Rattus norvegicus: one gene and its partner. The protein of the gene in region 1 binds, or shares a complex with, the protein of each later gene. Links are inferred from orthologs where the notes say so. Each region holds a gene or a part of one and is shown on either strand. Other genes may lie near its edges.

What was found.
Region 2: the proteins of Sart3 (region 1) and Usp15 are in contact, whole or in part, in a crystal structure (PDB 5JJW), measured with the Homo sapiens proteins. The link is inferred for Rattus norvegicus from reciprocal best matches to the Homo sapiens genes SART3 and USP15. Residues at the interface, in NP_055521.1 of Homo sapiens: Ser438, Ser439, Lys440, Glu443, Gln490, Arg493, Glu494, Trp496, Asp497, Met500, Thr501, Ala505, Trp511, Tyr514, Arg533, Cys537; in NP_001239007.1 of Homo sapiens: Ser23, Leu24, Asp48, Trp50, Gly121, Met122, Phe123, Val124, Lys125, His126, Lys128.

Annotation. Positions count from the first base shown.
Region 1 is NC_086030.1:48,518,355-48,522,867, reverse strand, and holds the start of Sart3 (squamous cell carcinoma antigen recognized by T-cells 3), read right to left. Parts: upstream 3,016-4,513; 5' UTR 3,002-3,015; coding exon 2,693-3,001; intron 1,207-2,692; exon of another isoform or gene 951-1,206; intron 1-950. Other genes in the region: iron-sulfur cluster assembly enzyme ISCU, read left to right, coding at 4,213-4,326. UniProt on the Homo sapiens protein: U6 snRNP-binding protein that functions as a recycling factor of the splicing machinery. Promotes the initial reassembly of U4 and U6 snRNPs following their ejection from the spliceosome during its maturation.
Region 2 is NC_086025.1:60,658,499-60,662,307, reverse strand, and holds part of Usp15 (ubiquitin carboxyl-terminal hydrolase 15), read left to right. Parts: coding exon 1-6; intron 7-1,500; coding exon 1,501-1,659; intron 1,660-1,743; coding exon 1,744-1,968; intron 1,969-3,809. UniProt on the Homo sapiens protein: Hydrolase that removes conjugated ubiquitin from target proteins and regulates various pathways such as the TGF-beta receptor signaling, NF-kappa-B and RNF41/NRDP1-PRKN pathways.

The DNA of each region.
Region 1 (4,513 bases):
GAAGGAGATGGGGGGGGGGGGGTGTTCAGGAAAGGATGGACTCTGGCCTACGTATGCACACGTACACACAGAAACCCTTCCAAACAGTTCAAGTGATGAGCGAGTGTACACTCTGTTCTATCCTAGGCTCAGGCCATCATTAATGACATAAAAGGCTTAAAGAGGAGACTCAGGCAAAGCTACCTGGTCAAGACAGAGCACAAAGGATGCCACACACACAAGAAAGGCACAGCAGAGAGGGTACGGCTGGCCAATAGTGCAGAAGCCTTCACTTAACATGCATTATGCACCCAAATGGGCCACACTTACGGATGGGCCAATGTGAAAGTGCACATGACGTATACTGCCAATGCGAGAAGTGTGCACCACTGCACAGCCTGAACACATTTCCTCTTTAAGGGCAGGGAGAGCCAGTCTATCCCCCAGTTTCTGCTGAGTCAATGCAGTGAACCCCTGGGCATGGTAGCTAAAGGCTCCTAACTCTGCATGTGAGAGGCTGAGGCTAAGGCAGAAGATTGAGCCAGCCTAGGCTAGAGAGTGAGCGCCAGGTTAGCCTGAGCTACAAAGTCCTCTTGGAGCTGAAGAGATGGCTCAGCAACTGCAAACAAGCCCTACACTGTAACTTGGATCCTGGGGACCGCGATGAGGACGGAGAGGACTGACTCCTATAAACTGTCCTCTGACATGGCACAGGCGCACCTGTGTGAGCACCAAACAGAAGCCTGCATTCTAAAAGACAATAGCGCCTCTCAAAACAAAAGGATTCAGAACACTTAGTACTAAAAAGTAGGAATGATAACCACCTGCTCCAAAAGGCCTCTAATAATTAGACAAAGGGACAAGTGGGGCAAGCTAGAGCAACATTCTGTAACTGGAAAAGAATCAGTGCTATAAATGCAGGCCAATGCAATTATTGGTTAGAGGTTAGCCGATTGGCCTGTGTTACTCACCACAAATCACTGAGGGACCGCACCTCCAGGGGGGTATCTGGACCACAGATGACCATAAGAGATCAAGGCCCACTTGTGTGAATTCAGCCGAGTCAGATCCTACCATTTGCTGAGCCTCGTTTCCTCACGAGAACAGGCTTCATCTTTTTGGTCCCACTCCTCCATATCTTCTCCTTGTCCCATGAACAACTGGGGTGCACTAGATTTTGGTCTTCTGGCACAATGGTTTACAGCTGGGTTTGCCCAACAGGAGGCACTAGCAGAAGCATGGGGGGTGGGGGGAGACAGTATCAGGTCTCAGGTGCTACCTCCATGAATTTAAGGCTTTCCAAGTAACATAAGGCTCCCTTCACCCCTTCAGACCTAAGATAGACACCGAGTCCTGCTGTGACTGGCTACGGGAACAAAACTTGCATCCCTGGTTCCCCTGCCCACATTTATAAACAGTGACTATTCATGCATCTTTGCTCAAATTACTCTAACTTGACTTTATCACCTACCCCTGCTAGCACACTGGATTGTAAAGGAGCTATCGCCAATGACAGATCAGGGACCATTTTACTGCTAGGGACCGGGCAACTACGGCAACTTCACTAGGCAGGTGTCATGGGTTATCATAATTATGATAATCCCATTTTACAGGAGCTGTTGCTCCTAATTTACATCAGAAGCTGTTAAGAAAACAAAAAACAAAAAACAACAACAACAACAACAACAAAAAAAAAACTTGAGGACACATGAGTAGAAGAGCTATTACACAATCCCAGAAGGATTCTGGCTCAGCGATGAGGACCACTGGTTGCTCTTCCAGAAAACCCAGGTTTGAGTCCCAGCAACCCCAGAGCGGCTGACAACAGTCTGGTAATTACAGGTCCTGGAGACCTGATGCTTTCTTCTGGTCTCAGCTCACACACTCATGCAGGCAAAACACTCATACACATAAGATAAGAGGGAGTTAGTGGCTCCTGCCTAGCAGGGACGACAGAGGGAGGCAGACCTCTGTGAGCTCCAGGCCAACCCGGTCTACATAACGACTTCCAAGTCAGCCAAAGCTACATACTGAAATCCTGCCTCAAACCCCGCCCCCACCAAAACAAAAAACAAAAAAACAAACAAAACAAAACAAAAAAAAAAAAAAAAAAACGGGCTTCAGATCAAAAGCCTCAACCTCTGCGCTTCTACTACAGTCGCGGTCTATTTTCCGTTCTACACCACATTTGACCATTATTACTATCCCTAAAGGAAAATAAGTTCTCCTCCGACTGTCAGACGGCTAAACCTTATCTGGTTAAGAGTGGCAGTCCCGGGCTGGAGAGATGGATCAGCAGGTAAAGTCGTTTGCCGCCACACCTGATGACCAGAGTTCAATCCCCGGAACCCACATGGTTATGAGACAACCGCGTCCGGGCATGCATACAAACACAAGTTTAAAAATACAAAAAGGATAAGAGCCCTGATTGGGTTCAGCCTGAAAAGATAAACACTTTCAGCTGAGTGTCACCTTGGGCAGGAGCCTCAGTTTCCCAGTGAAACCGGATTAACACTACTTCCCCAACCATGAAGAGGATCCAATGGAATACTTTACGGAAGTTCTGGGCACCCACTGAGCTCGGGAACCGGGGACCCACGGTGGCTGACAGCGCCCTGGAGACCTCAGCGGTCTCCATAACCACGGAGGACCGAGGGGGCGGGCCGGGCCTGGGGACCCGAGGGAAGAGAACCCGCCGCCCACCCCGGCCCACCTGCTCCTCCAGCCGCTCGATCTCCAACTGGTTCTTCTCCTCCTCCTCGTCGTACTCCCACTCGTCCTCCCCGGCGGAGCTCTCGGCGGAGGAAGCCATGGCGGCGTCCTCCTCATCCCCATCGCTCTCGCTCACACCTTCCTGGTGCACCTCCCGCTCAGGGCCCTTGGCTTTGGCTGTCTCCGCGCTGGACAGCACCTTCCTGCCCACACCCGCCGGCTTCGCCTCATCCTCCTCTCCCTCAGCCTCAGGCCGGGCCTGGGGCTCAACCTCCGGCTCGGACGCCGAGGATGCAGTCGCCGTCGCCATCTTGCGCAGCCCGCGATTCTCGGGTCCTCCCTCGCCCGCCGAAGCCCGGCGAACATTAGGCTGTCCGTGGCGTCTGCCTGACCAAAACTCCGCTCGGCGCCAGCGGAAGTGGCACGAAGGGCCTCAGGGCGGAGGAAGCCGTGAAGACTCCACCACTGATATTATCCTTAGGCGTCTCTGGACGCCACTGTCAGGAAGAAAGGCTCACTAGCATAACCTGCGTCGGGCTACGACCTTGGACAGCTTTTGGGTCTTGGGACCGGAAGTGGCAGCCATACCGGCAGTTGTGTGTGCGTGATGGCCATAGTTAAGGTCCAGACGCCATCTTAGGAAGGTCAAAGTCATTTTTTTTTTTTTTTTTTTTTTTTTTTTTTTTTGGACTAAAGGATTTCTGCAAGGCTCAGCCCGCTCCAGTGCGTTGTTGTTTCGCAGCAACCGGCCCTCAGGTGCGGACAAAATTCCAGTTCCTCCGCGATACAATGCACCATTCACGAGAAAAGCCTATCTCTCAGTATAAAGCTCCCTCCCCTTTCTAGCACCTAGTATCTAACAGGTGTTAGACGCATCGATTTTGTGACTATATAGCCAATGCTAACACATTACAGTAAGTATCGTCTCGGGATGCAGTGGATTGTAAAACAAACATGTACATGTCGAGGAGGTATGGTGTTTGTTTCTTTTATACTCCTCGTTGTTGAGGTAGAAAAAAAAAAAAAGAACACTGCTGTTTTCCTCTGCACTGCCTTTCTCCTTCATCAGCAAGGTTAACGAGACAGGAATTGCTTTCCTCGGGACTCCCAGGAATTTTTTTTTTTTAGTGACACCTAGTGTACACTTGACATGTTATTTGCTCCGTAGATGAAACGGCTGCCTTTGAATTAGAAAAAAAAAAGCCTGAACCTGAACAGAGACTCATGCAAGCTCGAATCCCAAATAAGCCTGAGTCTGAGCATCCTCGGGCAAGTCAGGCCCGGCTTCCCACTTCTGGGCGGCCCCACGCCCATCGCAGCACCAGACAAACGTGACCGCAGCTTCAGACCTTCCCGCTCTGCGCCGCGTCCACGCCCCTTCCGGAGGCGTGACCAAAGAGACCGGCCGAAACGCGTGCACGCGCTTGGAGCGGAGAGCGCAAGCGCCAAGCAGCGGTGACGTCATACAAGCGCGCCCTCCCTTCGGCGTCGCAGAGGTCGACGCAGGTGCAAGCCGGCAAGATGGCGGCGGCTGGAGCGGGCCGTCTGAGGCGGGCGGCGTCCGCGCTGCTGCTCCGGAGCCCGCGCCTGCCCGCCCGGGAGTTGTCGGCTCCTGCCAGGCTCTACCACAAGAAGGTATGGGCGGGCGAGGGGGTACGCGAACCATCGAGGGGACCTGCAGCTGTTGCACAGATAACCACCGAGGACCCCGCGGCCACCTCAGCCCCGCCGCGGCCGCTACTCCAAGTGTCCCAACTCTGACAGCCCAGAAGGGAGGGTCCTGGTATGTCGTGCCGGGGGTCAAGGGGCAGCACACATACAT
Region 2 (3,809 bases), on another chromosome or scaffold:
TTTAAGGTTAGTATGGGAAACTTACTCTCAGCAAGTGTGCTTGTGTCCCCAAAGGATCAACAAACAACAAACTCCTCAGCTGAGGGGTGGGAGTCCCATCACAGGGTCTCCTGGCCTCCCAAAGACACACATGGCGTAGAGCAGGATGGTGATAGGATTTTTTATTTGGGTTCTGTTTTCTTATTGTCTAGAAATGGACTGGAGAGATACTGCTTAGAGGTTAAGAACAATTGCTACCCTCCCAGAGGACCTGGGTTGGGTTTCCAGTACCAACATCTGGTGGCTCAGAAAAGCCTCTGTAACTCAAACTGGAGTAAATAAGATGCCCCCTTCTGACCTCCATGGGCATTTGCTCTCGTGCACGTGCGCACGCACACACATGCAGTTACACTGATGTGGTTTAGAATTGTTTAGACTGCCTCTGGATACCCTCTGTGCATGTTTTAGGTGTTGTAAAGAGCTTCCTTTAGATATGCTATTAAGTCTAACTAATCTAGTTTATCCTTGTGGCCAGTTGTAGACTATAAAATAAATCAGAATGAAACTGATTTACAAAACAACCATCAAATGGTCACTGACTGTATTTTCAATCTGGTTCTCACGCGTGGGTGTTTGTATGTATGAGGTAGTTACTTAGATCTCACCTTTAGTGAGAAGGTGGTAACATTCCTAGAACATCTAAGAAATATTTGTTGATCATCTAGCTGTTCCTAAAATATGAATCGAACTGAAGAGATGGCTGTGTGGTTAAGAGCACTGGCCACTTTTCCCGGGGACCAGGGTTCAGTTCCCAGCACCTGCCTGGTGGCTACCTACCCACAGTCTGTAACTCCATTTCAAGCAGGTACTATATGCAAATGCTGAAAGGCAGTGCAGGCAAAACACCAGTTTTGATTCTTCTTCACAAGTTATTTTCCACTAAGTTATCACAAATTAAAAGAACAAATACAGAAGCACACTCCTGGGGAAGTGGCAGATTCGAGTCCACCAAGCCTCGGTCACATTGTCATCAATTACTGAATACATCCTCTGTCGCACGTGTGTCTGTTTGAAAACTCGGGATTTATTATATATGGTTGGCACATTAATACTGATTTTCACAGCCAACCCTATAACTCATTGCTTAACAAATGTATCTAATTGTATTTTCCCCATAGAGGACATGACTGCCTCTGTGTCTGTGAACCTAGACAACACCTTAGCACTCTGCTTGGGAACTGTTTGAGGCCCTAGCTAGTACCAAGCACTAAGTGAGAGAGAACACTCAGACAAGTACAAGACAATGCTGAAGCCAAAAGGCAGTATCACGTGCCTTCTTCCAGGAGGGGTGTGTGCACATCAGTAACAGTTTTACTGGAACATACGTTCAGATAGTTTAAAGTGTATCACAACTTTACTCAGAGCACAGAAGTAATTTATAATAAGTAAAAATGAGAACAATTGTGTGCTTTTTAAGGAAACCTGTCACTAGCTGATTTTGTGATTTTGCTTGTCTTACAGACACAAGTAGGACGTTTTGCACCTCAGTTCTCTGGATATCAACAGCAAGACTGCCAAGAACTACTAGCTTTCCTATTAGATGGATTACATGAGGATTTGAATAGAATTAGGAAAAAACCATATATCCAGTTAAAAGATGCTGATGGGAGGCCAGACAAGGTAAATGAATGAGCTTCATGGTATTATTTTCTTCATTGTTAAAATTTTCTAACACCTTTTAGTAACTGTTTATTTCCTTTGTAGGTGGTTGCTGAAGAAGCCTGGGAAAACCATTTAAAAAGAAATGATTCTATCATAGTAGATATATTTCATGGCCTTTTCAAGTCTACGTTAGTGTGTCCTGAGTGTGCTAAGATCTCAGTGACCTTCGACCCTTTCTGTTACTTGACACTTCCATTGCCTATGAAAAAGGAACGTAGCTTAGAAGTTTATTTAGTTAGAATGGATCCACTTGCTAAACCTATGCAAGTAAGTAATGATTTCTTTCTTTACATTTGTTATTTTTACTTCGTTTGTGATGGGACCATTTTAAAATTTGCTTTCTCCAGCACTATTCGATTATAAAATTTATTGGATAATAGATTTCATAAGATAAATACTCTGGAAGTTACACCTGTGTAGAATTATGTGAAGTTGAGGGATGTCATAGAAAAATAAATTTATCAAGTTTGCACACCAAAGACAACCAAGATGTTTGTTTTATAATTTGGAATGGATATCCGCTTAGAAAGATAAATAACAGTATTATTGTCTGTATTTTTTCTATCAAGAATTTTTAAATGTATTTATTTTATATGTATAGGTATTTTGCCAGTATATATCTCTGTACCACATGTGTTTTTGGATCCCCTAGGCCTCGGTATTGGATGATTGTGTGCTCTCATGTGGGTGCACAGAATGGATCCTGGCTCTAAAGGAGGAGCAGCCAGTGCTCTTAACCACTGAGCTGTCTCCTAGCACTCCTCTAGTCAAATTCATTATGTTGTAGGTTTTTCCTGGTCACTTTTAGAAGTAAAGCTACTATTGTATTTTATTTAATATATTTATTATTGTCTATGAATGTGTCTACTATGTATTTATTATTGTATTTTCTAACTCATCATATGATCATGCATAAGTAGAAGTAATCTTCAGGCATTTTAAAATTGTTGATGAGAAATAAAAAACTGGTATAAAAATACTGGTTCAGAAAAAAAAAAAAAAATACTGGTTCAGGGCCACCGGGATTCCTCAGTGAGGTGAAGGCAGTTGCTGCCAAGCCTGATAGACCTGCGTTCAATCCCTAACACTCACTTGGTGGCAGGAGAGAACCTGGTCCCACAATTACATTCTGACTCCCACACTCATGATGTGACATGTACATAGACACAGTAAAACTTTAATAATAAAAATACTTGTTCAGTTGCTGTTCTAGTCTTTCAGACTTTAAAGTATCATGCTGTGCTTATTCTATGCAAACTCTCTGTGGCACACATTAATGTCAGTTGGTGGCCTGGTTCCTTTTCTGTGTGCTATCCCTGGGTTCCTCGGTGCTTTGTGAGGAAATGCTACATTTTCTGTTTTTAAATCAGTTATTCACATTTGACCCTGTTCTGGTGACAGCTCCCCCTTTGCTCCTCTAAACTCTGTTGCAGTACCTCAAAGATTTTGGTTTCCCCTTATCTTCCTTTCTCACCTACCCAGGGCTTTGTAGGCAGGGAGCATGTATTTCCAGTGCTGTGACTTGTAAATATTAATGCAGAAGTATATCCAGATGTGTGTTACTCACTTGGTGCTTTTTTCCTCAGACAAAGCAGATTCCTAGATTATTTTCTTAGGGTCTGGCCAAATATCTCAGATTTGTAGATACAGAGTAGAAGTGAAGTCTGTGAAAGGTACCCTGTGAACAAAACCACCTTTACTTCCTCTTAGCAAGAAGAGTGTCTGTGCACTGTTCTTAAAGCAGCTAAACAGCTCCTTCATGGAGAGTGATGCCAAGCTCCAGGCCAGCCCGAGTCTGTGTTCAGTGTCACAGTGTTGGGAATCTAAGGAGGTAGTCAGTGGTCCTTAAGCTTGTGTAGTCAGGCTGATGAGAAACTGCTTAGTTCCATTTGAGCTCCAGGGGATGAGGACAGTGATGGGGGAATGCATTAAGGTCTGTTTTGTTTTGGACATTGGGGTTATTTGTTGTTTGTTGTTGTTGTTGTTGTTGTTTAACTTCAAGTTAAGGTAAATATAAATGGGGTAATTGCTGGGTTTGGGCAGCAAAGGAAGGAGAAGACAAAATTCAGGCCTGGGTGCTAGGGTCAGGTGTGCACAGACACAAAGAC